Linked DNA regions of Nothobranchius furzeri. The protein of the gene in region 6 purifies or fractionates together with the protein of the main gene of each other region. This does not show direct contact. Links are inferred from orthologs where the notes say so. Each region holds a gene or a part of one and is shown on either strand. Other genes may lie near its edges. The genes, in order: ehmt2, ssrp1a, kpna2, adnp2b, numa1, chd4b and sap18.

Region 1 (3,817 bases), on a different chromosome or scaffold from region 6:
AGTCAATCAGAGCAATTCCACTATTGCGGCCGTGCTCCGGCCGTGCTCCGGCAGTGCGGCGCCCTCTGTTCCGGCGTCCGGCAAAAATAGAATCGATCCTATTTTTGCCGGACGCCGGAGCACCTCCGCAGTCAATGGACAGAAATCACAAACGCCCAACAGGAAAAGGAGCGAGCACAACTTCCGTTTTTCACAATAAATTGATAAACAAAAGGCGTTTTTTGTTTCATATGCACAGGTTTAACAACTTTTAACAACTATCAGTGGCAGCTGAAGTTTAAATGCACAAAAGTAAGCCATAAATACAGTTTCTACTATCAAAGTAGTCACACTTTGTTGATCCAAACACTGCTGATCTCTCAACACAAATGATGGGCAGATTAAACAGTTCATTTTGATGCTTCTCCCACACAACGGGTGTTTGGATCTAACTTCCGCGTTTATTGCTCGGACTGTATCGCAAGATCTCGAAAATCCTGCGCATGCTTGTTTGCCCACCTCAGGTCTCCGCACCGGAGCGGAGCCGTTGTAGAGCGGGTACCAGTAAAAATTGAGTTCGGAAGCGAGCGGCTGCGGAAGGCGGGGGCGGACCGGACCGGAGCGGAGCGGAGGTAGTGGAATTTGGGGGTAAAAGGCTAGGTTATCCAGAGTTAGCTCTGTAGTTATGCTGCTATAGGCTTAGACTGCTGGAGGACACACTGACCACTTTCCACACTCGACTACTTTCTTCTACAATCTGCTCTTTAACTGTATTATTTCCTGCTGTTTCAGCTGTTAACTTTATTTTCTCTCTAAGTGTTTTTCTCCCCAGAAGAAGCTACATCGATGTTCTGCTGAGCTGTGGTGCCCTCATGGAGGGGGCCATCGTCTAGCACACTGCTGCTAACCACTTAAACATTCTCCCTCTCCTGATAATAACATTTTACTTTCTTTGACATAGAATGTGCTACTACTAGTTTACCCGTTTAATTATAGAATCACTAGGATCACAATGTAACCATGGAAACATTACTTGGTGTGTGTGTGTGTGTGTGTGTGTGTGTGTGTGTGTGTGTGTGTGTGTGTCTGCTCTATCTTCTTGATCCCCAGTGAGTCGTGGAGGATGGCTGCTTATACTGAGCCAGGATCCTCTGGAGGTTTCTTCCTGTTAAAAGGGAGTTTTCTTCTCCACTGTCGCTGCATGCTTGCTTAGTATGAGGATCGCTGTAGCGTCAGTGACTCAATGCAATTAGCTGGGTTCCTTATATAGGAAACTTTTTTCTGATTGGCTTAATGAACTGGGGACTCATTTATCAAACATTGAGTAGAATCCTTACTAAAACCGTACTTAAGCTCAGCAAAAAAAAAAAAAAAAAGTACTTACACCAAGTAGGTTTGTGATCTATCAAACATGGAGTACGCACAGCTGCACGCAATCTCTGCTCCATAAATCGGAAACTATCTACAAATGTTCTCAGCTGCTTTTTGGTCACATCCCGCCCTCATCACACCCACTTACTGCCATAAATATTCAATGCAAAGTGCCTTGTGGATCTCATGCATATACATAAGCCGGCTTGTTGCAGTGCTCCGCCAATGACATGGCGACCGTAGATCAAGGCAGACCAAGGAAGCCCAATTTCACAAGTAGAAGTTGAGGTGGCGAAATGAAAGGAAGTGCTTTTGCAAAACAAATAAGAGAAAATCCACGGAGTGGCACAGTGTTGCTGAAGCCGTCAAGAAGAAGGAGAAAATATCATTTCTATAGCGCCTTTCAAGATAAAAATCACGAGGAGCTTAATGATGAGTTCCTGTGGCGGATATAAAAAAATGATCCAAACAGGAGTCGATCCCGACTCCCGAGTGAAAGTCACACGCGCTAACCAGTCAGCCAAACAGTAATCTCTCTTGTCCAAGTAGCCAGGGCACATGATCAATCTTATCACAGTGACGAGACACACACACTGTCACAGACGCACGACATTCTGCCTCAATCTGTCCCCCTGCTGATATTCTGCATTCCGTATTCTGCACTTCAGGCTGTGTGTGTGTGCGCGAGCTCGTGTGTGCACGCGCATGTGTGTGCATGTGGGGTGTCTTGTTCTGTGTGAAAACGAAGCAGTACAAGTGATAATAATGCAGGATTTCATAATTTTATCCTTCTCAGCAGCAGCACTGCAGGTGCTCTCCATGTCCAACATGTGCGTAAGCCAGGTCCTTAGTCAACTTAAAGTTGCGCACATTTTTCCGCTAAGTTTTCCTTCATAAATCCCAAAGTTTGCGTGGAAAGTTGCTTACGCAGTTTTCCGACCCCGTTTTGTGCGTAAGCAAGCTTGATAAATGAGGCCCCTGGCCTGTGTTGGAATGCTTTATTATGTGAAGTGCCTTGAGACAACTCTTGTGATTTGGCGCTGTATAAATAAACTTGAATTGAATTTTCTAACAATTGCTCCAACAGTTGATCTATTTTCACCAACCTGCCCAGCAATTGCCCCGTACCTCTTTCCAGCCTTATGGAGGTCCACAACTTTGTCTCTGGTGTCTTTTGACAGCTCTTTGGTCTTGCCCATGGTTAGTAGTTGGGAGTCTGACTGACTGACTGTGAGGTGGACAGATGTGCTTAAGAAGCTTAGACAGGTGATGCCAGTTTAGATTAATATGTGGAGTAGAGGTGGACTTTGAAGTTAGAGTAAAATGTCTTTGAGCCAGAATTCTGCCGATTCCTCAGGTGTTCAAATGCTTACGGCCCCCCCCCAGTAAATCAAACACGAAGACATCAACTTACCACAGTTTGGCCTTTTTCTGAAACGCTGTCGCCCTTCTCAGATTTACTCTCTGATACATGACCCAGTTTTCTCTTTCTAGCAGCTGGTGGAAACAGAAAAACAACACAAAGCGTGACAGTTATAAGAGAAAAAAAAGCCTTTTTAGTTTTTTAAACAGTCAAACTTACATGGAAAACAAGATTTCAGGAGCATTTTCTGAGTTTTAAAAGACATGTTGGTGTTGCAACGATGTGTTTAAGAGATATAGCCGAATCAGGAGGCAAAGATTGGCTCATTCTGCCATGCAACACCTGAGCAGAGTGGTGCCAACTGAGACTTCTGCATGAAAACTAGTTTTCTGATTCAACCAAAAGCTGCAGGTCGGTACGAACAATCCAAAAACCAGCTGAAGTGATCGGCGTACATTGAATTAATTTAAAAACCACACAGTAGAAGAGGACCTGTAATTACGAGTGCTGGAGAACAATCGGAGGAGTAAATATGATCGAAGTTTAGAACTTACCTGTTTCAGAGTCAGTAGAGAAGCAGGTGGAGGAACCCGACGTAGCAGGAGTCTCAGCGTAACTCACCTGTCGAATAAAAAAATGCTAACCTTTCAGAAAAAGTAAAACAACAAACAATTGTGGGAATAAAAATGTGTAACAGAAGTCATTACTTGGCCGGGTGAAGGCCTGTTCATGGTCTTACGGGCCCGGTGGATCTTGTGTGGACTCGGGGAGACAGAAGGTGTCAACGAAGCTGAGCCAGATGAAGAGGAAGAGGAGGAGGAAGAAGAGGAGGAGGAGGAGGAGGAGGAGGAGGATGAAGAAGAGGAAGAGGAGGAAGGGCCAGGTGGGAGGACGGATTTACAAGAAGACGGCCCGGAAACGCTCATCTTTGCCCGACCAGGGGAAAAAAATGAAGAGGTGGAAGGATAAGATGACATTGAGGAAATGGACTTTGCTGCGTGACCTGTTAAGAAGAGATACAAACTGTTACTGAAGATGAAAAAACATGTTACTAAAGATTAAACTAAGCGATCACTACGTTAAAAAAACAGTCAAATTTTAATA
Region 2 (3,817 bases), on a different chromosome or scaffold from region 6:
GCGGTGGAAAATTAATCAGAACACAGTCGTAGGTCAGCTGCTAGGGAGTACAGGAGTTGAATGTAATCCATCCAGCCCCTCCACACAGGCCCTGACAATCAGATCGTTTATTTATCCTGCAGGTCCGCCGCAGCTTACAACTGGAGAGGACTCACAACCAACGACAACCACACACACCCCTACATTCGCAATAGTACAAACACATATGGAACTGATTGTGGCGTGCAAATGCAAGGGCAGAATGAGACTGGAAACTCATGTACGCACCTGGATTTCTGCCATTTCATAAGGTTATTGAAGCCAATATATGAATATATGAGAGAGAGAGAGAGAGAGAGTGTGTGAGAGGGTGAGAGTTTGTTTAATCAGCTTGTTTGTTGACCTGGACTATGGAGTTGTTTAGACAGGATAATGTGTGTGAACGGATGTAAAAACATACCATCAGTTTGTTTTGTGGAGCATGTTTTATACTAACACACACACACACACACACACACACACACACACACACACACACACACACACACACACACACACACACACACACACACACACACACACACACACACACACACACACACACACACACACACACACACAGTGATTTGTCCTACATTTATCAGGAATTAAAAGTTTTCTTTAACTATTTTGCTGCTTCAGCTAAGTTACCATTAATAGTGAAATCATTAGGAAACGTAGTCTATATACTGGAGATTATTTCTAAGTTTTGGATATTTTTGGGTGTTGAAAAATGAAACTTTTGACTCAAATCTAAAAAAAAATAAATGTTGTTTTTCTTTAAAAACAAAAACAAATAGCCTGATTTTACAAGTGTTTTGCTCTTTGAAATGTCCAACAGCTTTTACTGGTTCTGAATTTCCTTAGTCTGATTATTCATCAACACAGCTGTCAAACTGGGAGAACATGAAGGATATCTGAAGCCAAAGCAGTGATGAGGGTAAAACTCCAGCTGTGGTAAGGGAACCCAACCCCACTGAGATACTTCAGACTCACCGTGTAAATATCTATGATCTGGCTACGTTTTAAAAACCATCACTGTTGCTCTGAAGCGACTCAGGACCTTTCCTGTTTGGCACAAAGCTACAGAGCCCCGGCTGATCCAACATCTGGCTGGTTCTGGTGGATCTCACAGATGCACAATCAGTGTAGGAAGGTGGGAGCCTGGAGGCAGGATCCTCACATGTTCCAGAGTTCTGGCTAAATTAGGAAGTTTGATCTCTAACAATGTTAGAAGAGCATTTTCCCACAAACAGAACAGAGAATCTGAAATCCTCTCGCTGGTCTAAGGCTGAGCCTTGAACAAGTAAACACCTCCGGATGCTCTCAAATACTCAGGCAGGGATTCACATCTTCCTCAAGGACAATTTATTAGACCAGATGAATCAAAATGTCAGCCTTCTGCCAGTTCTCCATTACCGTCGCTAACTGGAGGATAATAAACAATGACTTCACAGCCTGGGCTTTGGGACGAGAGGATCCATCTCCCCTCATAAATAAGCTGATTAACCCCCAGAGACACACTCCTCAGGTTAAACACACACCTCCATCCCTGTATCTCACTAGTGTGTTGATTTTTCCTCTGCGCTCAGAGGAAATTTAAAAAAAATGCAATAATACAAATTTCTCTTGGTCTGTTTTGGGAGCCAATTTGTTTTAGTGGGCTGATATAAACACGGGCTCAGAAGAGCCGATGATTGCACTGTTTATAGAACACACACGCTGGCTCCGGTTCCCCTCATTAATCCCATTAGGGCCTTTGAGCAGAACGCCATTCACACACACACACACACACCAGAGAAACCTCAGAGGAAATGTCAGATGGAGCGGGGCTCCTCCTGCTCGTGTTACACTCCCCGTCATACAGCAGCAGAACTCACCGTGTCCCTGAAGCCGTCGTACTTGTAGACGTGACCCGTGCTGGTGCCCAGTTTGATGCCGTGACCCAAACACACCCGTCTCCACTGAGCCAGGTTGAGCTCTCCTGCAGCGATGTTGTCCACCTTCCCTGTCTTGTTGCTCTTATAAACCACGTTCTGTTTGCTGAAACGCAGCCGTCCGTCATTCTGCAGAGACGAGATGAGACATGATGGGTTCATGAGTCCAGAAAAAGCATTTCCAAATGCTTATCTGTAAGCTAGTAATGCCACTGTATAAACGGTATACGGATGATAAATTTAGCCACTGGTAAAGATTTTGACTAACAGCCAAGTACGATCGCACATGAATGTCATCAAGCTGCAGCAGCACGGTGCGGGTGGATAAAGACAGGCTCAAAATAAGGATAGGACTGGACGCCGACTGATGTGGTTTTTTTAAGGCCGATGCAGATACCGATTTTTAAAGAATTTTGTTGCCGATATCTAAAGCAGATTATATATATATGTATATATATATATATACATTTTAGCAGCACATTGATTGTGAAAGACAACTGAACACTCACAAGCCACGTTTACATGTGCGCAATTAATCAGACTGAACGCCCAATCAAATCAAAATTTCTGCATGTAAACATGTCAACCGGAACGTTCTGATCCGATTCGGCCCGATCGGTATGAAATTTCAATCCTATTGAGAGAGGTGGTTTTGTCCAATCATCATTCCGATTGGCGTGCATGTACACAGCCATTCGGACTGTTGGGAGTAAAATAATGCCCACTGCGCATGTGAGCAACAGCTAGCGAGCCTCCCCGTCGTCATTTGGACTAACTGACTTTTAAAATGACGACCTAATTAACGAGCGCCAGCTTTTAAAATGGATGGCAAGCCGTCCCTGTTTCAGTAATATCTAATCCAGAACTTGCATTTTGTGGAAGCAAAGTAAAAATCTGATTATTGCAGTAAAGACTGTCCCGGAAACACCAGATTCATTTCAGGTTTGCAGCACAGATCCCTGTTTCCGTGACCGCAGCAGCCGTTTCTGCAGCAGGTGGATGAAGACGTGATCGTAAAGAAGACAGGGTAACAACGGTTAATCAGACCTGGTTTGAGTAGTTAAGTAGAAAAACATCCTCAGTTCAATATTCTGGGCGACTATCTGTGTAAAAGCACGTTAACGCAGATGAGATGCGGTTCGTTTAACACATGATGAACACAGGCTTACAAACTTCTGAACATCTCCTGTTATTTAGTTTGAACCAACTTTTCACAACAGTTTCAGCCGATTGTCACATTTTATTAATAATAAACCACAACAGAGCTCAGTAATAAAACACGAGTCTTATTATCATGATAAGAGTCAGAAATTTCGACAACGATAAATTTTAGATTTATTGCCCAGCCCTACTCAAAACATAAAAAAACTGTTAGGGTTCTTTGGGTCCTTTCTTCAGTCTAGTAGTGGCAGCAGTCGGGCACACCTGATTTATTTATTTATTTGTTTTAATCGGCTTTTAAAAATAATTTCGGCCGATATAGAAAAAACTTGAAATTATCGGTCCGATCTATCGGTCAGCCTCTAGATGGGACAATGTTGGTTATACAGACCTGGTCTGGGTTGGATGTTGAGCAGAAAAGCATCCTCAGTAAAACATGCTGGCTTAACGAGCTTTTATCTCCGTTAATAGCTCGCTCAACAAAGTTCCCTTTAATGCCATTTGATTTTCTTTAACACATAATGAACACACAGGCTTTCAAACCTTTTGGACATCTCCTGTGTTTTAGTTTGAACAATTTTTCCTCCACAGTTTCAAAGATTTCTCTTGCTTATAAAAAAGTTTGAGTCTGAAAATGGCTGCCCTCTCTCGCTCTACGCTGCCTGTGTGCACAGCGTTCAGACCTGCTGATCAGCTGATCT
Region 3 (4,340 bases), on a different chromosome or scaffold from region 6:
AAGTGTGTAGAGGTTAAAACCGTACATTAGATACAGGAAAACAGCAGAAGAACACAAACATAGGACACAGGTACAGTAAACAGAAAAAAGGGTCATCTAGAAGTTGAAAGTGCTTTGGTTTTCACTGATCTGGAATGCAAACCCTTCCTCTGTAGCTTCAGGAGCCACACACAGCACCTCCTCCTCCTAAAACAAAAACACACGAGTCCATGAGACAAACAAACATTTAACTGGTCACACCTTCACTGCCACACTCACCTCTTCAGAGAAATACTTCTCAATCAGGTTGAGGGCAGCTTTGTAGATCATCTCGTTCTCGTGAGACTGCAGCGCCTCGATCTTGTCCAGTCCGCCGCATTCTTCGATCATCAGACTCAGCTTGTCGGCCTCTCCGATTTTATCCCCAGCCTGACGAATCCGACAGACAAGTTTCAGGACCGTGAAGCCACACACGAGAAATCAGCTGATCCAGTCCATTCACACATGTGCTCACCATGAAAATATTAGTTATTGCGTCCAAGATGACGAGGACCGTTTTGCTGTCCTTGGAGGAGAGCAGATTCAGAAGAGGCTCGAGAACATTGACCTGCACCAGATACACCACCTGCTGAACAGTGCCCCCACTGGTGAAGTTTGTAACTGCCCACACCGCTTCTTTTTGAGTTTTGTAGTCACCCTGGAGAAGCAAAAATAAAAATATATTTCTAAACTGTTAGAAGAAAAATAAAGTTTACTCAACAATCTTGTGACACGACGACATACCTGAACGAGCATTTCCACCATGTATGGAACGAGGCCTGCGTCGATGACCTCCTGGATCTGCGTGTCCTTCCCAGCTGTGATGTTGGACAGAGTCCAGGCTGCCTCCTTCTGGATGTTGGGCTTCTTGTGGCGCAGCAGGTGAGGGAACATGGTCAGCGCCTTGGCGTCCAGCACCGCTTGAGTCTGCTCGTCTGTGCCGGTGACGATGTTTCCGATGGCACGCAGCGCCGGAGTCTGGGGGAGGATGATCCATTAACAACCGGGTCCAAGTTGTGTCTCAGTGCAAGGACACGAGGTTTAAGACGGCTGAAGCCCACAGAAACCATACTTGCCAGAAAAGTTACTTACAACTATAGACAGCGCCTCAAAGCCGAGCAGATTCACCAGGCGAGGAATCAGCCCCGTCTGGACCACCACCTCGATACGGTCGTTGGAGCCGTCAGTCAGGTAGGACACGGCCCAGCATGCATCAGCAAGCACCTCCAGGTCATTGTGATGCAGGAGACGAATGAGAGCAGGTAGGAGCTGTTCGATTGCACTCATCGGAGGAGAAGGATTCTTGTTACGGCACAGGTTTGAAATAGTCCAAGTCACATTCCTCAGGTAGCCAGGCTACAGAGAACAGAAGAGCAGGTGTCAGACTAAAGGGGTGAATTATTTTATTGGGTTAGGACACCACCTAGTGGCGGGAGGGATTAACGATTACAGGAATGCGACCATTTCCCAAATGGAGTTCTTGGAAAATGTAAAATCCGAGAAGACTTACACTAAAGACAGTCCAGTCAGGAACTTCCAGCAGCCTGAGTAAAGGTGCCACAGCACCGTGCTTAATTACCATATCTCTGAGAGCAGATCCATCACCTATACAAATAAAAAAATTTAAGTTATTTAGGTTAAAAAAAAACTTGCCTAAAGAATAACTCTGCACTTACCTGCAATGTTTCCAAGAGCCCAGACTGCCTGCTCGCTGATGTGCTGGTGGGGGGATAGGACCAGGTTAATGAAGGCAGGAATGGCCCCACCCTCCACAACAGCAGCCGTCTGATCCGATGTGCCAGAGGCGATGTTCGTCAGAGCCCAGGACGCCTCAAACTGGATAGGAGGACAGTCCGTCAGGCCGAGGAAGGCCACGAACTTGGATATCAGACCAACGCTGATCATCTGATCAATGGGAGGGCGCTTGTCTCGTGACAGAAGTTTCCTGATGACAGAACATCACGGTTGAAGTTACTGCATCAATACTGGTTTACTTTGGAATTTGCAACGTTAAAAAAAAAGACTGTTACCGTGCAGCCTGGGTGGCTTGAAGCTGAGACTCCAGATTACCGCTGTTCACCCCAGTAACGATCTCCTCCACGGTCCATTGTCTTAAATTCTGCTAATGGGGCAAAAGTGGGTCATAATTTAGTGGAAAAAGTTAAGAAACAGGGCTCAAAATCAAAGTACGAGGCTCGGGGTTTGCAACTTTCACCAGATACTGGGACTATTCACCCCCCTACAGCTTAAGATGCAGACCACGTCCTTAACGAATGACACCTGAAGTCTCACCTGGCCGTTCTGAGTTCTTTCCTGGAGAGGAGAAGTGGCCTCTTCCGGTTCTGTGCACACGTTCCTCCTTTTGAAGATCTGGTCGTCTTTCTTGGCTTTTCGAAGCTCGACGTTCACCTCAGCCCTCCTGCGCCGAAGCTCCTGCGTCAGATTCAAACGAATTCAAGTTCAACACAAGTCTGCGCATTCTACCCCGATCACTGACGCTGGGTGCAGCGAGTCTTACGTTAACGTCTTTGCCTTTGTTCTTGAATTTGTTCAGACGTGCGACGTTCTCGGACATTTTCAAGCTAGTGGACTTGAGTAGATGCAAAGTTGGTTCAATTCCTGCGGAAACACGTTTATTTCACACGAAGGTTAATCGATTTGCTCCGAGCTGCCTCGTGACACCATGAGCCGTCAGAAACCGCCGAGCGCTTTACTTCCTGTTTGAAATTAGTTCATTGCTAGTTAATTAAAATAGTGAAATCACGGCTTGGACAGACGAAACAGAAGGGGAAGAAATCGTAAACACGTTTCAAACTTTCCGAATGAGCAGCAAGACCTCACTCACCTGGACTGGAACAGTTGTGATATGGAGAAAATACCGCACAGACCTTTAAATTCCTACTAGACTCGCCTCTGATTGGCCCGTTCGAGCCCAAACGTCGAGCCCTGAGCGTTCATTGGACTGTTCAAAAATTTCATAACACGCACCGGAAATGTCGTTACGTTACGAGAATATCGCGAGACTTATATAACAGCGCTTGTTGGGTTAGATTGTAGTGTTAAAAATAAATCTTTTCACTCTTGTAGGCTAGAAAATAAATGTCCAACACACCAAAGTTAGCGAAAGCCAAAAACTAAATCTAATTTAAAACGGAGCAGCAAACTTTTACTAAAGTCGAGTGAGGTTTTTTTTTAATATTTAAAGAGCAAGTAACCTCTAAATTAACTTTTTTTGCTGATAAACTGTATAAATGAGTGTCTAATAGTGTTTTAAATGTGTGTATTCATTTTTTATAATTTTTTTCTCAGAATTATGAGAAACCAAGTCAGGATTCTGAGATTAAAGTCAGAATCGGTTTCTGTTTGAGACAGCAGGGGAAAATAATGTATAAATAATTCAGATTACATTTAGGCACACACAATTAAGCAAATCTGACACATTTATAGTAATTATGTAAATATATATTGTAATTTTGAGATTTTTTAGTCAGGGATGGAGATTCCTATGGACGAGCTGAGAGTGATGCAGTGTAGTTCAGATATTTTTCATTTGTAACACAAAAAAATCAAGTCAAGAACTGATGAATTTTTTATTTCATTTTTATACAAAAAGGGCAGGAACCTTCAAATACATAATTTTCATACTTCTCAGTCACTACTGCAAATTCACTTACAATAGCCTTTTACCATATTTTCAGTAGGATATATAGAAGTTTAACCAAGATGACTACTGATGTCCAAATATTTAGTAAACTTTCTTTCATGCCACCTCAGACTAAAAAGATAAGTGGAAATGAGTGGCGGGGAAGATAGTCGTCTGAATTCAGACGAATCTCATGGTACATGATGCTCAGTAAAGCTCAGCCATTGTACATCAGTCTTGAAGTTTCTGTTATGAGCTGACATGAAGACCACAAGAAAGGCCTGAGGATTTTTTTTACAAAAAAAAAAAAGGGTTAAAAGAAAATTACACGGAATCGAGAGCTCAGCTCCAGAAGTAAACTTTATCTGAAGTGCCTCCGCTGTCCTCGCACCACCTCCTCCCAAGTGCAGAGCTTCTTATGAAGACAGGTCCCGAGACGCCCGCCTTGCAGCTGAAAACGTGCAGAGGGCAGCTCTGTCTGAAAAACGCCGTGAAAGCAGCAGTGCTGGTTGACTCGGTCGCCCGGCAGCGTGTTGTAGAGTCGGTCTGGAAAAGCCGTTTTCTTGGCGAGTGCATTTTCTACACAGCATTTTTCTAAGAGACCGAAGAAGCCTGAAGTTTGTTGTTATGAGACCTACAGGATGTGGAGAAAGGGGAAGAAATGAAAGCTCCTCACACT
Region 4 (4,582 bases), on a different chromosome or scaffold from region 6:
GTGTATGTACTACAGTTTTAACTGGATCTTTTTCATTTATATTTAGATTTTATTTTGGGAAAGATTATTGTCTTAAAAAAGCTATTTTATAATTATCCCCTTAAAATAATATTTTGGCTTTTCCCAAAATAGCATTTTTTCTCAAAATTCTTGACTTTATTATGGCAACACAATCTAATGTTATTTAATATTATTTGATTGTTTTTCTCTCATCGTTCTGATTTTTATCTCAACATTTTGTCCTTTTTTTTCCTTCCTGACAAAGGGGCAGCCATTTTCTGATTGTTCTGATGCAACATGGAAGTGAAAATTGTTGCAGTTCCACTCTCATCCACTAGGGGCTGGCACCAGAAAGGAGCAAATTCTCATAGACTCCCATGTTAAAAATGCCTACTTCACAGCAGAAATAAAAATGTTTCCTGAGTGGTTCAAAAAACATTTTAAGTTTAATAGATCCAGTTTACATGCATGACAACTCTGGAGGGGGGTTGTAAATATTTATTGATTTATTGACGCTAATTTTAGCCAAAATTGTATTTTTTAGCTTGTTTTATTGAATATTTTAGTGTTGTTCTTATTGAAGCTGCTTTGAGAGATGTTGCTTTTATGTTGTTTATGGCATCACGTCAGTAGAGGCCTTCGTAACCTCTTCATGTTCTGCATGATGACAATAAAGAATTCATTCATTCAGTCAACTCTTCCGTTTAGGTGTAATTAAATGCTTGAAATGAGGAATAATTAGATTCAACTGTTATAGCTTGCGTTAGCGGCTAGCTCCGGGAAAGCTGATCTATCGCAGTCGATGGTCTTTGAGGTCACCGCCAGACTCTCCCCCTTCAGCAGCGGCAGCCATACGATCAAAAATCTGAGAATCTTACGCTCCAGCCTCCTCGAGGGAGCTACGTGAGGCAGGCGACCAGCTGCTGCCATCACCTGGGGCTGCCGAGCCGTTTCTGGCTAAAAGCGTCCGAAAACCTCCATTAGCTTCAGGTTAGCTTCGGGTTTGCTCAGGCAGTTCGTAGCTACCACCTTTGGCACCAAGCTCCATGTAGTTTCAGGTTAGCTTGTAGCTACATTGGTTCAGAGGTCATGGGTGTCAATCATTAGCTCCCACCCTCACTGCCCCACCTCTTTTCCCATTTTTGGATTGTCTGGGTGTGATGACACGTGCGACACAGCCAAGATGGCGGCAATCAGAACCACCCATTTGTCTTCAAAATAGCCCAACAGAAATATATGGGTGGAGTTTGTCCATTTTTTTTATAGTCATTGTTTCGTGACCCTAATACGCTGTTGTAACTGGTAGCTAAAACCAGGAAGAAGAAGAAATCAGGAACATTGACATACATAACTGTCTTTTAAATTGCCATGTGACAATTAAAAATAAAAAAGGATTGTTTTGGAATAAAGGTTAGCTGAACTGGAAACTGCGGGAACTGTTTCAATAAAATGTTTGTTTGCGGTGAATCGTTCATTAATAATGTAATCAAAATAATCTTTCTACACACAGGGCCCACATGTAACTTGTTACACCCAGTTTGTGTAAACGGTGAAATTATAAACAATACCAGATTTTTTTTTAATCAGCATAATAGCCACAAAAAACATTTAAAACCATCTGTAATATGCAAAAAAATAAAAGACTGTTTGTATTTACGAGGTAAAATTGGGGAAAAAACAGTCAGACACAAATAATACCAATTCCTGGGGATCATTTTTCAAAATAAAAGCATACCTTTAAGAAGGTTTGGCAGTCCTCTAAGCCAATCTCACTTAAGATGTTTTTCACTGCTCTGCGTCCCTTTCGAATCTTCTCGACATTTCCAACTGGAAGCTGATACATGATTCTCACACACTTAAAGAGAAAGAAAAGAACAACTTTAGATGAACATTTGAAGTTGTTCATTTCACCTCATTTACTAGAGGAAAATATGACCAATATTCAACAGGTTATTTGCCAATTTGAAAGTCCACCAAAGCTATATCGCCAGGTAGCCTAAACAAATTATAATTATTAATATTTATACTGGTCCATGAACTCACCATCACTAAGTTTTCACTTGGTTTAGCAATAACACATTTGCAATGTTGGTGTTTATACTTTATCAGAAAAAAATTGTATCAATTACAGTGCAAGATAAATCAGAATAAGCCCATATTTGCATCAGAGATCAATATCAGCATCAAAACTCTGAATTTTTGCATCTCTAACTTTAACATAAGCCATGTTGCAATTTTCCCCAACATGGTCTAAGTGTAAAATAAAATGTTGATTTCTACTTTTTATTGCTGCTTCAAATACATCAAATTATCTGGTGCAGCTCAAAATAAACAGGATTTTGTAATTAATGTTGAATTAGCAGGTTTATTTAAATGATCAGATTTCTAAAGTGGATGTTAATTAATACGAATTAAAAAATAATTAAAATACTTAATTACTGCAAAAAAGGCAAATAATAATTACTGTGGGAAAAAACTGAAAGAATCCGTATGGTTTTGGTGAACGGATACCTAAACTGCGATCGATGCTAAAATTAAAAAAAAAAATGTGTGTGTGTGTGTGTGTGAGCCACTAAAGTAAGAAGCCCCTCCTGACAGCGTTACAGGATGCGGGGTCATTGAGGCGGTCACAGCGCATCTTCCTGCGTGAGGATTCTCCACAGCCTCCTTACCTCGTTGGATCTTCAGCGCTGATTAACGTTCGTCGTCGCTGTGCCACCGGCAGTGGAGCTAACGATCACCGCTTGCTTCCACTGGCCCGCCTGTGTGAGTCGGTGTGCTGCGTCTGCTCCCAGCGCCGCGCACCACACACTTACCGGAGCGCCACCCTCCCGTATACACCGTTGCGTCAACACCGGAGTCCAACGCGAACCGTAATGATAGCAAACGAACTCCGGTGATAAGTTAGTTTTTTTTTTTTTTTTTTTTGCTCTTAGCTTTTGTCCCTTTCTTCCCCTGTTGAGGAAAAAATGGCGCTCAAGTTCAGGATCTGACGTAGGCGGCCTTATTTGCATACAGCACAAACTGACCAATGGGAGACTTCTGCCCCAAAACTAATATAACTTCTTTAATTATTTCACTGTAACTTCCAACATTGTTCAGAGATAGCCAAACAGTGCGTTGTATGATTTAACCTTTAAATTTAATCTCATATCGGAACTCTTTTATTGACTTTATGGATTCTATGAGGAATAGCTACTTAGGGGGCGTGGTTACACCGACCTCTACTGGCAGTCACGTGGTACATGGCCAAGCCAAACCAATCAGTTGTCGAGAAAATGAGCTAATGGGTGGTCCTTATGAGCTGATGTCACATCTTGCTACTTTTTTTAGCCAATCATGTTAGCCCATGATTTAAACAATAGACTGATATGTTAGATGTGTTTTTGCTAGCATAACATAAAGGCCATAACTTTTTAATAACTTTGCCTATTCAAACATTCTTTCTCGCTATCGACACTTGACAATTTTTAATTAATTGCGATTCGATTTTTAAAAAGTTATGACAATTTTTAACAATCGACAGTCATATTCTGACATTGCCGTCTAGAAAATGTTTACGCTACCTGAGTTCATGTAGGTCATTAATTGATCTTTTACCCAAAAAAAGACGACATTAACAACGAATCAATAATTAACGTAGGTAAATTTTACGTTTTTCTCCGATAAATGCTTCCATGTGGTGGAGTGTTGAGCCACTTCTTTTGTTACCAATTATGGCCAAACAATGACTACTGAATCCTTTTATTATTTTGCATTCATACCACCTGGTGCCATGCCTCACGATGACAAAATGACTCATGTTATTTTTATACCCTTACATAATTTCAGTGGCTATCTCACGTGTTTGTATTGTACCAACATAATTTAGAGTTTTTACCAATGGCGTCACTTCCACCATTGTGGCTTCTTGCACACCAAGACGATGCTGATTAGAAGAGGCAGAAGAGATAAAGCTGAGAAAATATCCTTGGCAAAATAAAAGAACTGAAAACAAGCAGACTTCTTTTGAGCCACTGAGTCAAAACAGTCAGATGTTTACCAATCAATGTGCAAATGCTTTAGAGTGAACACAGTATGACTCACCATTTATATTTGAACGTGGAATTCTTGTGGGTTGCATGGGAAGGCAGTTGGTGCTGCCTTGCAATGAGAAAGTTGCACGTTTGAATTCAGGCTTTGGCCTTCCTGGATGAGGTTAGCATGTTTTCCTCATGAACGCCTTTCTGCCACATGTTAAAAAGTTGCATGTCTATGGGGGACTCCACTGTCCCCAGGTGGACTGGAGACGTGTCCTCTGCCTCTCTCACCTGATGTTAGGCACCAGCTCCCCGTGGCCCTACTGAGAAATAAGCGATTCAGATAGCGATTATATGCTGCTCTTTTCCTGGTTGACTAATATTGTCAGTGTTATCAGACATAACTCAATTTGATCAATTTGCAAAAAAACTTTGATTTCTCTGTGATTTTTCTTTAACAGAAATAGACTTTTTTTCATCTTTTTTAATGTGATCAGCAGTTTTTTTTATTTCTTTACCTCTAACGAACTATTGGGAGATATTAAACTCATTATGAGCCGCAA
Region 5 (3,817 bases), on a different chromosome or scaffold from region 6:
GCAGGAGAACGCTCACCAGAAGGAGCTTCTACAGCAACACTTGTCTACTTCTGAAGAGCAGGTAAAGAACCTGAAAAACGAGATCCAGACCAAAGAACAACAGATGACCTTGATACAAAATCAAAGCTCAGAGCAAGCAGAAGAGTTACACCAGGAGATCAAAGAAGTGAAGGAAGAGGTTGAAAGTCTTCGTTCCTCTCTGAGAGCAGCTGAAGAAAGCTTACGATCCAAGGAAGAGCAGTTTGCAGAGCAGCAGCTACAGAGCTGTCAGCACCTGGAGGCCCTGCAGATTGAGGTGAACCGATTGAAGCAAGAGATCCAGACCAAAGAACATGAAGCTGATCTGTTAAAATCTGATCACTGTAAGGAGACAGAAGTCCTCAGTGAGGAGATCAAAGCTCTTAAAAATCAAGTACACAGTTTGATGGAGTCTCTGAAAACTGCCACAGAAGAACGGCAGATTCATGAGAACCTGTTGGCTCAGAAGGACATGGAAATGTCTCAGGTGAAGGACTCGTTTAAAAGTAAGATCGAAATCTCAGAGCAAGAGATCAGAAGACTTGGAGAAGAGATCCAGACCAAGGAGGACCAGCTGGTCTCCCTAAAGGAAGAGAGCTCCTCACATTCTGACGAGCTGCAGCAAGAAATCAAAACACTTTCTCAAAGACTCAAAGCTAAAGAGCAGGAGTTAGATGACACCCAGCAGGAATCGTCTCAAAAGATGAACTCCTTCGAGCAGCAGCTTCTGTCAGTAAACATGGAGCTGACACAAGTCAAAGAGACGCTAGCAGCAAACCAGAGAATGAAGGAGGCAGTGCAGGAGTTACATGTTTCCTCATTAAAGCAGAAGGAAGTAGTTGTTCAGGAAAAGGAAACACTTTTGGTCAGGATCCACCAGGCTGAGACCGATCGGAAGGCTCTGGAGAAACGGGTCGAAACCCTAATCGCTGAGAAGGACAGGCTTGCTCGAGCCAACGAGGCCATGGAGAGGGAAAACAAAACCTCATGCAAACTGGAATTGGTGCTGCAGAAGGAGCTTGAAATCCTAAAAAGAGAGAGAGAGCAACTTTTGATGGAAAGAGAAAAGGCTGAAGAAACTGAGTTGGCGATGAGAGACCTGGAGAAACGGCTTGCTGCTAGATCAGAGGCTGCTGAACATTATAAGACTCAGGTTGGTTCAAACACAAATCTAGTCTTGGCCCCAGTTTTAAAACCAGAATTGTGTTCACTCTTGTTTTAAATGGTGTAGTGAGTTTTTTTAACTGATTATTGCAGTGAATGTGTTTGTTTTTCCACAGATGGAGAAAGCAGTCAGCCATTATAACAACAAGAAACAGCTTCTTCAGAAAAGTGAGGAGGAAACGGCGGAGCTCAGACGTGCTTTAGAGGTGAAGAACCATGAAGTTAATGCCATCACCATGGACAAAAGACTGCTCCAAGCTGATCTAGACAAGGTCCAGACCAATGAGAAGAAACTTTTGAGTACAGTGGCCAGTTTAGAGACACAGGTTTGTTGTGTATTTAAAAGAAAAACAAGCAATGCCTCTAAGGTTACTGTTAGAATGAAAAAGCTGCTGAATTTCAGTCTCTATGGCAACATTTCTGTCTTTAGTTGGCCTATGCTGACCAGACGCTTCGGGCACAAAATAGGATTCATGGCAGTGAGGCTGGCTCGTCTAAAGAGTCGTTTTACTTGGCGGTTCCCACCATTCGCTCGGGTGTTTCCACCAGATCGCAGATGAAGAGGAGCATGAGTTGTGACAGCCTTGGTGAAAGCTCCCTGGAAGACACTCTGAACTCTACAAGGTAATGTCTGGGTCATCAGGTGTGCTTTTAGTTCAGGTAGCTACACATCAAGACTGAATGATCAAATAAGGAATGACTTTAAAAAAAAAATTGGTAACTCTTCCTTTTACAGTCCCTTAATTACCACACTTGCATGGTAATTACACGGTAAGTAAAAGTGTAATATTGTTTCTGAGTTCTTAAACGGTTATCATGTAACTCGAGTTCAGTTCTAATTTTTATTAATCATTCCCAGTAAATGCGGCTTCACACAGTAATTACACTTTTTTTTACAATTATACACTTTAATTACACAATAATACACTTTAACTATCTATGTAATTACAATGTAAGTACTTAGAGGACTGTAAAAGAAAGTGTTACCAAAAAATGTAATACAAATAACAAATTCTTTCTATTTTTAATCATCTTTACAAGATTGGATCAATTATTATTTTTTATTAAATGGCACAAATCATTTGGGTAGAAGACACTTAACAGCTGACTGATCCTGTGTGATGATTTGTTTTTGGGGATTATGGGAGAATTAATGATTATCTTTCACTTTTCTTAAACATTACAGGAAGCTGTCAGCACCCGAGGAGTCGAGCACGCCACTCGTCCGCAGCTCAGAGCGTCTAGCAGCCAAACGCAAAGGTCCTCAGTCTGAGTCGCAGGAAAGCTTGTACTTTACTCCCATTAACACCAGACAGACCAGAAGGTATGCTGTGAGGATGTCCGATGACACGATTGGCTTCGACTTCTTTTTGCACAAAGAACTGCTGCTCCACAGATGTTTTATACTTTTCGTTTCTGTTTTGGACTTTTCTGATGATATAAAGAACTTTTAGCATTAGAAAAATATATTTTCAGGTCAGATTTGAAATAAATTCTATATAAAGAAACAAAAAAGAAGCTGTGTCCCAAACAAACATTTTTCATTTATTGTAAACATTAATGGATTTTTGTCACCGTAGCTTGTCTCTTGTTTATCTCCCATCACCTAGGGGCAGTTTAAGTTCTGACACGGTTCTGGAGTCGGCTCAGAAAAACCCGGCATCATCTGCCAAACGACGCCGGACCACCCAAGTTGTAAACATCACCATGAGCAAGGTGGATGATTCGTTGATATACAGTCAGTTGTTTAAAGCACGGAGGCCTCATGTTGGAACGTTTGTGCTGTGGTTTGTAGAAGATGCCAGGTTCTTCTGAGGAAAGTGAGACGTTGGGTTCTGGCTGCTCTGTTGCCCACTCTGCTCGATCCCTGTCTATGGAGGCTTTTGACACGCCTCATGGTAAGTCCAGTGCTGCTAGTGACCAGCTCATCGGTCTTCCGGGGTACAGACGGAGCACCATTCATTCACAGAGTAAGTTTGTCCCTGGACTTCTTATCATTTATAATAAATGCATTATTTCTGCCTTTTTATTTAGTTTCCTTTTAAAGAAAGTTAGAACTATGTGGTATCGTCTGTGTTATTTGATAAAAAGCTTGACTTTGATTTTCCTGCATCCTTTTCCCTTCAGCCGCTGGAACGTTCTGTGTTGGAGCAGAAAACGAACCAGACGGTGGTCCTGATGACTGGCTGAGGATCGCAGAGCTCCAGGCCAGAAACAAGGCCTGTCTCCCACACCTAAAGAGCAGCTACCCTGTAGAGTTTGAGGTGAGGAGAGAGAAAAACCTGTTGGTTCAGAGGATGCTAATTAGATTTTTACATCAAATCTTTATTCACGTGAAACTCCTCCCATGTTTATGTCTAAAGACTAGAGGGACTGGCGGATTCGTTTTCACTGACGAGGAGCTCCGCACCGGGGACCCGTCTGACACGATCAGACGGGCATCGATGATGCCAGGCCAGCTGCAGGACTCCCTCGTGTCCCATCGGCAGTCTCTCATGTTTGGTCAGGCAGGTGTTGGAAGCCAAGCTCATCGCATGTCCTTGATGCCGGGACAGCTTCCGTCCAAAAGACCCAGCCAGAAAAGCCCAAGGGGTTCAAAACAGTCGTCTTCCACACTGTCCTTACCCCAGACTTC
Region 6 (3,817 bases):
GGCGAAGGTTCAACAAGCAGTCTGTGAAACTACGGTTACATTCTGGCTCAGTTTCTGAGAGCTCCTGAAGATAAAATCCAACCATTTCAGCTGATTAAACTCTTCTTCAGAAAGTCTGGACAAGGATTCTGTACCTCTCACAGACTACAATACATTTTGGGTTTTAAACATTATTTAAAGTTCAGACTAGATGAGAAAAAAAGTCACTCCTTCACAACTGTGGATTAAACTCCCCGCTAGCTACACAGAAACACTGGGCATTAGTGTTAACAGTCCAGGGGGGGATCAGGACTCAAGAGACTACCTGGATGGTGAGGAGTGGGCCTTTGTAATGCAGTAACAACCTACAGGGAGCCCAGGTCTCCTCCCATTCCAGTCGGCTCACGGGTCCCCGGAAGAACGAAAAAAAATGAATGCAAGTCAACGGGGCTAAGAGCTATTGTCTCATCCGCTTTGCCTTACGCCCTGGATCGCACATATGTTAAACTTCAATTTAAATGAAAAGTAATGGTGTGTTTCAGCCACGCTAGTCACGTACGTTGAGATTTATCAGCTTGACTACAAATCAGACGTCGCATAAATGACGTCACCACAGAATCTCCTCTCCCCTAGCGTAGCTGCTACTTACCAAATGGCCAGATTTATGGTGGATCTTTCCCCCCGGAGGAAGGATTTGAAGATTGCTGAACTTAAAACCACTTTACCTCTGCTTTACTCCATGTCTGGATTGATGACATCAATTTGGTGATGCGCATTTGTAGTCCTTGATGTATTTCACACAAACCCTAAAATAACTTTTGCCCTTTTTTGAAAATAAGCTCTTTCTTGGCATCAGAATGCATCTTTAAAATTCACTGACATCATATGTGAAATCCATGGCACATGCTAAACGGGATTAGAAAATAGCATTTTTAGCCCCGTTGACTTGCATTCATTTTTTTCATTCTTCCGGGGACCCGTGGTCCGGAAGTAGATGGGCGTCACTTAGGCTCCCTATTATAGCTGAAAAAAATGGCTCAGCAAAAATTTGCAGAGCTGAAGGGAAGAAGCAGCCGAGACAGGAAAACGCAAGTGTCAAACAAAAACCTGTACAGGGGGTATTTTTCATGAGGAAATAATAAAACATGGACAAAAGCTCCAAAAAGTGGACTTTGCATAATATAGGACCTTTAAAAAGTAAATTGACCTGTGGTGTATATAGTTTACTAGTGATGACATCACAGATCTGTTCTTTTGAAGTCCATGAGAACCTTGTGCTTTCTTTATTAACCACACCTTTATGGAGCACCGCGTTGGCAGGCTTGTTTCCAGACATGGACTCCTTGCTGAGGTGCTGATGGGACTCGGCGAGACACTCTACCTCACTGAAGCGAGTGTTGAGGGCCATGGAGGGGTGGGCCGGGTCCTCTGTCATGTTCAGGTAGGCCGCCCTACGCAGCTGCTCCTCGATCACCAAAGCCTGCTCCAGCAACTTCAGGAAGCCACGGACAGACCAAAATTAACCAGTGAGACATGACGCAAGCAGACACGCACACAGCTGGATTCTGCAGAACCGAGGCGCCGGATTCACCTTGAACCTGCGAGCCAGAAACTTGTTCTTGATTTCCAGGAAGTTTCCTCTGCTCATCTCTCCTTTGAAGGGCTCGTTGATAATAGCAAACCTCACATCGTTCTGCACATCCTGCCATCGAGCGTACCCGTGTCTGAGACAACACTGTCAAGGACAACAGCGCTGCTATTTCTGGACTCCAGAGACAAAACATTCCAGGTGATGTCATGTCTCACAACCCGGTAGCTTACTTTCTAAAGGAGCAAAAACAAGGTCGCATGCGAATCGTTTACTCTTTTTCCTTTGAGACCCTTTTTATCAAACTGCTGTAGCTTGTAAGTAAAACTAACTTGTAAACTTAAACCCACAGCTCGTTTAGGATGTTAATCTGTAAGGAAATGATAAAAATGACCACCCCATCAGTTAGAAAAGATACTGTATGATTCCAGCCAACAGCCAGTAGTCATGACGACGGTGCCAGATCTCATAGGTCTTCTTCGTGACAGTGGCGGCCCTCTCTTCGTTCTGCCACAGGGAGTGGAGCTCTGAGTGGGAGGGCAGAAAGGTCAGAACAGAGGTCAACGGCGTTGAAACGAGGAGAGAAAGGAAAGCGTGTTCACCTGTGAAGCCCCCGTCTGCGATGTTGAACATGAATCTCTGCTTGGTGGCTTTCTTCTTCTCTTCGCTGATGTTAACCGCAGCTGCTCCTCCATCTTTGGCATTCTCTCCATTCTGCAGCTTTCCGGGCTCCTCTGTTTTCACGCCGTCCTTCTCCTCCTTTGGATCTGCAACGAAATGTTTCGTTTTGCAACGTTTCCTGGACCTTTAAGATGACCTTTACTATAATATTAACCATCTCACAGATTCAGTCGTGTGGAGAAAACTTTTATTCAAACATAAAGACGACCTAAACTTAGTCTGAACCTTTTCTCTCCTCTGGTGGTGAGGTGTCCATCTTCTCGTATTTGCCGTCCTCAGCTGAAAGAAGAGAAATGGAGACTGGCATAAGGCCATTATTCTGAGAATAACATGATATAGATGTATTTTATCTAGTTTATTGCAATTCCATCATAACATCTGTTAATTTGTTAGATTTAAAGGTGCAATATGGGATAGGCTAGCTAGTCATCCTATAATCTGGACAAGACCCACACACAGAGCTCAGTTGTGGAGCAGAATCTATGGTTGTCTTCCAAGCCATCTCCGCACGAAGTGCTAGGACCAATCAGGGCAACAAACAACGTTTCTATGTTGTCCAGCCAGTGGTAGACCTGCTCAGGCTACAAAAAGTGTGGCTAAACTGACCTGAAGAGCAAAATCTTTTGCTACTGCTACGGTTTAGTACGAGATGCTTTTCTTTTTTATGCCATATTGGTTGAAATGCTCATCACATATTGATGCCAACTAATACATTAAATGTTTTGTTTATAAAAGTAATAATTTTAGCCACCCCTGAAACACACAATCTTGAAAAAACCTCACACAATTATTGTGAATGTCTCGTTTTTAATGATTGTATCATAACCTTCTCACCTTTACACTTGTCCTCTGAATCCATCCTTCCATCTGAACCTCCCCCCTTATTGTTTACAGAAGCAACCATCGCTGCTGAAGACTTCTCTTCTTTCTCTCTGCTCAGGTCTTCAGCTTCCTTCTCCTTTCCTTCCTCTCCATCCTCCTTGTCTTCCTTCTCCACAGCAGCATCTTTCTTGTTAACAACGGGGGACTTTTCAGACTCATCTGGGATTTCAATAATCTGAATAAGAGAAGTAAGTTTTGACATTAATTAAAACATTGTATCATTAATAAACATATTACAGTGGCACTAGGAAACACACACACACACCTCTGGATCATCTTTCTTAGCTTTGCTGTCCTCTCCCTCTTTCTTCATGTCATCTCGCTCATCTGATTTAGAAAAATCTTCTGAAAAAAAGCAAAAAATATTCAAGAGATGTATTTGGGTTTTTTTTTTCCACTTGTAAAAAGATTTTTACGATTTACATCTTAAAACAAGAACGTTTATAAAGTGCTCGATAATGCAGCTTTTCTGACTGCATCCACAAGAGGGCACCAGTCTGGTTAAAGCTCCTCTGAAAGACCAGAAGTCAAAAATACTGTTAGAAGTTTAAGTGAATGTGTCTAAAACTTTTGATTCGTCTTTTAGGCTCTCAGTGACAGTTAATGTTCGCACCTGGGATGGGGGTGTTGGGCTGCGTGTCTGCAGGAGTCCCAGTTGAAGGAGTTTTCGGGTCTTCGCCTGCAGCT
Region 7 (4,017 bases), on a different chromosome or scaffold from region 6:
AGCGCGCATGCGTTGTCGGAGTTGAGTATTTCCGGTTGTGCTTTCCAAAATAAGAGCTAACAACGAATTCACATCTGAAACAAGTGTCTTATTACGTCACAGGATGGATGCTACTCTGAAGGAACGAACTGGTTTAGTAAAGGAAGTGTATGGAGAGGCCAGGAAAAAGGGGACCTTTGCCATTGTCTCTTTTTCAAATACCCACATTTGAGTTTGTTGAAGCATACGTCCATTACTTTAAGCTTGTAGACACCAAAGAGCTTGAAATAACGTTATCCGTGGTCTATCTTTTTCTTTAAAATGACTTAATACCAGCTCAGTGGTCTAGTGGTAGTGTGTCCGCCCTGTCTGGAATTCGGGGTTCAAATCCCAGTCGTGTCACACCAAAGACTTTAAGAATGGGACCCAATGCCTCCTTGCTTGACACTCAACTTTAAAATGGTTGGATTGGGGGTTAAACCACCAACTGGTTCCTGAGCACAGCCATAATTACAGCTCACCCATCCCTATGGCGATGGGTCAAATGTGGAGATGGCACCTTAACTTAAATACATAGTTTATATAACGAAACAGAGAAGTCTCTATACAAATTTGCAAAAAAAAAAAAAAAAAAAACTTTTTAAATTAAGGATTATCATTCAAGTGAGTTTGGTATGTTTGATCAAAACTGGTCTGTTTTTGCAAATTAACTCTTCACAAACACACATTATTGATATTAACTACTCAACAACAGTCTATAGGGAAAAAACAGCTTTATTAAACATGAAGAATTATAAAATGAGGCTAAACTACTCAAGAGAACCCAAAAACAGATGTATCGCTTCATGTGCGTTCAGAAGGGCCTCATGCGTTGGTTGAGGGGCGGGGCTCTGTTGGGCGGTGTGATGGCTATGTCCAAATAGTCTCCAATCTGGAACCGCTGGGACTGCAGCGTCATGGAGTCTTCCAAACCCTTCCTGCCAGACATGGTACTGCCGATCTCTTTTAACCTGAACATTGTAAAAAGAGATGCACAAACTCAGTCCACAGGAATTCATGAACAATAGTATGATTTTACGACCCCGATCTGTGTTGCTCGACACTTACTTGTACATTTTCCCTCTGGGTTCTGGATAGACTATGGCAAAGCTGAAGTGGGTCCCCTTTTTCCTGGCCTCTGGATACACTTCCTTCACTAAACCAGTTAGTTCCTTCAGAGTAGCATCCATCCTGTGATGTAAACAAACACTTGTTTCAGAGGTTCTGTAGCATATACCAGAAACGTAATGGTTTGTAAGTCTTACCAAGTGTAGATTTGCAACTCGCTGGAAGGAACGTTCCCTCTAGAAAATTCCTCTATTCTGTGGTGTCGGCCACTGTTGGTAGTAAATACTCTCAGGAGGAGGGGGCAGGTCTGAAGGAAACAAGAAAACTAAGTTAAACATAAGCAAAAGTACAAATAAATATCACATTCTTTACATGTGATTTAAATATATGAACACATTTAGAATAACTGATGTAAATGTCAGTGTTATTTCAATGATTCAACTGGATTTTTTTTTTACATAAACCTTATTTTGAAAGTTTTCATCAGGGCAAAGTGAGTTCCGAAGTGAGTCTTCGCTGCCCCCTGGTGGCCGTAATAAGTACCTACAGCTGATAGAAAGAAATGGCTTTTTAAGATTGCCATCTGGTTCCTGATTAAGAAATTTAGTGAACTTTTCTGCAACCTTTTAATGCACATGTGGGAAAAATGTTTTTATTAGGCTGAACCCAAAAACAGAAATTACAATTTTTTTACAGAATAAGAAAAGTTATCTTAAACTATATTTGAAATATGATTGCCCTTTTCTATTAAGCATTTCTTATTGTAAAATATTTATTTATATCAATTCTTTATTATTGTAAATTATCCAATAGAAACTTATTTGTTTTCGCAGGTATAAGTCTACAGCAAATAAAATCAATTTATAATTCACAAATATCCGTTATTTTTTCTTATGGTCAACCCTTTTTCTCCTGCTAAACGTAAATAATAGACAATTACATCTACCTTCGTTTATTTATTTAACAGTTTTATTTGTGTTTCTGCTGTTTATTACTCTTGTGCTTGCGCGTTAAAAAGCACAAATAAAAATACTTGCTTTTTTTAAGTTTATTTATCTGCCTTAAGAACAATAAAAATGCAGGCTTAAAAGTATTATTTTCAACTTTCAAATGTAACCATGTTTATCTGTTCAGGGAAAACCGACTCATTTACAATACTGAAAACATTTAGAGGTCTTTTCATGTAAAGCGTTGCTAGCATTAGCTTATTAGCATGCTAGACGGTGCCGTCGAGATAAATCATACACAATTTTAATTTATTTAGTTCAAATAAAACATTTACGACACAGAATTGAGAACGGCTACATTAAATAGCTGTAAATGACCGTTTTAAAACACTTTTTAAGCTTTTACTCCTCCCGACTGCCGTTTTAGTGTTTAAAACCAGCTAACAAGGTTAGCTAGAAGCACACAACACGATGAGCGAGTTACTGAACATTATCCAAACATTAACCTTTTCCCGGTCGATGGGCTTTTCGGGCTCCTTCTTAATTTCCTCCTGAGTGATCCGCGACTCAAGGGCCATTTTTGTTTAACACAGTTAAAATGTTATTAAGCTGTCTGGCTGCAACTTGCGTCTTTCAGCGATGATATTTTTACGGCAACATGAACATAACGTAAAGCGTAGGCTTTTCCGGTCACGTGAAAGTAAGGCAAGTTATTCACGTTACTCCGTTTTTAGGTTATTTTTTAAACACAGCAAAGGTTTTCTTTACCTCCTGGAGAAGCGATCGAAACTGTTAACATGGCAAAAATAAAAAAAATCCTGTGTTTTAAAAATAACTTTAAAAAGCGTTTAGAAGAAAAACACAGCATGAATTTACAGGGATGGCAAGTTATTGTTTTACATAAGCAAACCGCTCTCTCAAGTTTCAGTGACAGACTCATTAGTATTCTCTGTTGGCACTTCTCACCAAAAAGAATATAAACTAGAATACATAAATTTCTGAAACTGAACTCAGCACACTACACTTTAATCTGAATAGTGACTTCAATTCAGAAGATTGTTAGAACATTGAACATTACACACGGCAAGAACAGGGCGAATAAAAACAACTCTTGCTGCCTACACAAGACTAATTCAAATATCAAAATGTACGAATTTAAGGTAAAATTCTTATTAGAAAATAGAAAATGAGAAATGAGATTTATATGCTATATTGGGTTGCCAAAACCATAGCGTGAAGTACCGGTAGTTACATTACCATCTGATGGCCAAAACCCAAATTGTCCTATGAAATGAGCCGAAAAAATGTATTGAGTTTATCCAGGATTCCTGGTTATTTTGCATTCAAACTCCGTTGAAATATAATCATTTACGTCTTTTAATTTCACTTAGCTTGGTTTCTTTCTGCATATTCACTATAGAGTAATGCGATTTGAAGTTCTCTGACTCAGAAAAGCGCTATATACAGTAAGTGTGAGTTATTTATCATTTGTACACTGCACGGCCCAAAACAATAAGTCACCACCAAATTAAAAGTTCCCAGACTCTAATATTTTGTTGGACTGTCTTTAGCTTTGATTACGACATGTATTTACTGTGGCATTGTTTCTGCACAAGAATTATTTCCATCCAGTGTTGAATTGAAGTTTCACAAAGATCTTGCATTGATGATGGTAGAGTCAGACCGCTGCACAAAGCCTTCTCCAACACATCCTAAAGATTCTCAATGGGGTTAAGGTCTGGACTCTGTGGTGACCAATCCATGTGTGAAAATGATGTCTCATGCTCCCTGAACCTCTCTTTCACTATCTGAGCCCGATGAACCCTGGCATTGTCATCTTGGAATATGCCCGTGCCAACAGGGAAGAAGGAATGACCTGGTCATTCAGTATATTCAGGTAGTCAGCTGACCTCATTCTTGGAGCACATCCTGTTGCTGAACCTAGACCCGACCACCTGCAGCAACCACAGATCATAACACTGCC

The links.
Region 1: the proteins of chd4b (region 6) and ehmt2 purify together in Homo sapiens (affinity purification with western blotting; 3 studies listed by BioGRID and IntAct, with this or other methods). This does not show direct contact. The link is inferred for Nothobranchius furzeri from reciprocal best matches to the Homo sapiens genes CHD4 and EHMT2.
Region 2: the proteins of chd4b (region 6) and ssrp1a purify together in Homo sapiens (affinity purification with mass spectrometry; 3 studies listed by BioGRID and IntAct, with this or other methods). This does not show direct contact. The link is inferred for Nothobranchius furzeri from reciprocal best matches to the Homo sapiens genes CHD4 and SSRP1.
Region 3: the proteins of chd4b (region 6) and kpna2 purify together in Homo sapiens (affinity purification with mass spectrometry; 3 studies listed by BioGRID and IntAct, with this or other methods). This does not show direct contact. The link is inferred for Nothobranchius furzeri from reciprocal best matches to the Homo sapiens genes CHD4 and KPNA2.
Region 4: the proteins of chd4b (region 6) and adnp2b purify together in Homo sapiens (affinity purification with mass spectrometry; 3 studies listed by BioGRID and IntAct, with this or other methods). This does not show direct contact. The link is inferred for Nothobranchius furzeri from reciprocal best matches to the Homo sapiens genes CHD4 and ADNP2.
Region 5: the proteins of chd4b (region 6) and numa1 purify together in Homo sapiens (affinity purification with mass spectrometry; 3 studies listed by BioGRID and IntAct, with this or other methods). This does not show direct contact. The link is inferred for Nothobranchius furzeri from reciprocal best matches to the Homo sapiens genes CHD4 and NUMA1.
Region 7: the proteins of chd4b (region 6) and sap18 purify together in Homo sapiens (affinity purification with mass spectrometry; 3 studies listed by BioGRID, with this or other methods). This does not show direct contact. The link is inferred for Nothobranchius furzeri from reciprocal best matches to the Homo sapiens genes CHD4 and SAP18.

The regions. Positions count from the first base shown.
Region 1 is NC_091759.1:8,513,579-8,517,395, reverse strand, and holds part of ehmt2 (histone-lysine N-methyltransferase EHMT2), read right to left. Parts: intron 3,717-3,817; coding exon 3,421-3,716; intron 3,335-3,420; coding exon 3,268-3,334; intron 2,848-3,267; coding exon 2,765-2,847; intron 1-2,764. UniProt on the Homo sapiens protein: Histone methyltransferase that specifically mono- and dimethylates 'Lys-9' of histone H3 (H3K9me1 and H3K9me2, respectively) in euchromatin.
Region 2 is NC_091741.1:91,658,149-91,661,965, reverse strand, and holds part of ssrp1a (FACT complex subunit SSRP1a), read right to left. Parts: intron 2,085-3,817; coding exon 1,899-2,084; intron 1-1,898. UniProt on the Homo sapiens protein: Component of the FACT complex, a general chromatin factor that acts to reorganize nucleosomes. The FACT complex is involved in multiple processes that require DNA as a template such as mRNA elongation, DNA replication and DNA repair.
Region 3 is NC_091752.1:67,643,751-67,648,090, forward strand, and holds the start of kpna2 (importin subunit alpha-1), read right to left. Parts: upstream 2,948-4,340; 5' UTR 2,864-2,947; intron 2,638-2,863; 5' UTR 2,594-2,637; coding exon 2,537-2,593; intron 2,452-2,536; coding exon 2,311-2,451; intron 2,141-2,310; coding exon 2,049-2,140; intron 1,964-2,048; coding exon 1,695-1,963; intron 1,624-1,694; coding exon 1,529-1,623; intron 1,375-1,528; coding exon 1,111-1,374; intron 997-1,110; coding exon 763-996; intron 677-762; coding exon 494-676; intron 409-493; coding exon 259-408; intron 187-258; coding exon 97-186; 3' UTR 1-96. Other genes in the region: nucleosome-remodeling factor subunit BPTF, read right to left, coding at 4,256-4,295.
Region 4 is NC_091759.1:18,869,702-18,874,283, reverse strand, and holds the start of adnp2b (activity-dependent neuroprotector homeobox protein 2b), read right to left. Parts: upstream 2,897-4,582; 5' UTR 2,673-2,896; intron 1,856-2,672; 5' UTR 1,844-1,855; coding exon 1,736-1,843; intron 1-1,735. UniProt on the Homo sapiens protein: May be involved in transcriptional regulation. May play a role in neuronal function; perhaps involved in protection of brain tissues from oxidative stress. May be involved in erythroid differentiation.
Region 5 is NC_091753.1:34,155,141-34,158,957, forward strand, and holds part of numa1 (nuclear mitotic apparatus protein 1), read left to right. Parts: coding exon 1-1,171; intron 1,172-1,298; coding exon 1,299-1,508; intron 1,509-1,612; coding exon 1,613-1,806; intron 1,807-2,368; coding exon 2,369-2,506; intron 2,507-2,792; coding exon 2,793-2,898; intron 2,899-2,977; coding exon 2,978-3,152; intron 3,153-3,309; coding exon 3,310-3,446; intron 3,447-3,545; coding exon 3,546-3,817. UniProt on the Homo sapiens protein: Microtubule (MT)-binding protein that plays a role in the formation and maintenance of the spindle poles and the alignement and the segregation of chromosomes during mitotic cell division.
Region 6 is NC_091745.1:73,996,982-74,000,798, forward strand, and holds part of chd4b (chromodomain-helicase-DNA-binding protein 4), read right to left. Parts: coding exon 3,744-3,817; intron 3,476-3,743; coding exon 3,396-3,475; intron 3,306-3,395; coding exon 3,083-3,305; intron 2,528-3,082; coding exon 2,474-2,527; intron 2,335-2,473; coding exon 2,170-2,334; intron 2,095-2,169; coding exon 1,986-2,094; intron 1,704-1,985; coding exon 1,571-1,703; intron 1,472-1,570; coding exon 1,276-1,471; intron 1-1,275. UniProt on the Homo sapiens protein: ATP-dependent chromatin-remodeling factor that binds and distorts nucleosomal DNA. Acts as a component of the histone deacetylase NuRD complex which participates in the remodeling of chromatin.
Region 7 is NC_091754.1:55,848,188-55,852,204, reverse strand, and holds sap18 (histone deacetylase complex subunit SAP18), read right to left. Parts: upstream 2,720-4,017; 5' UTR 2,612-2,719; coding exon 2,540-2,611; intron 1,394-2,539; coding exon 1,284-1,393; intron 1,210-1,283; coding exon 1,087-1,209; intron 990-1,086; coding exon 833-989; 3' UTR 736-832; downstream 1-735. UniProt on the Homo sapiens protein: Component of the SIN3-repressing complex. Enhances the ability of SIN3-HDAC1-mediated transcriptional repression. When tethered to the promoter, it can direct the formation of a repressive complex to core histone proteins.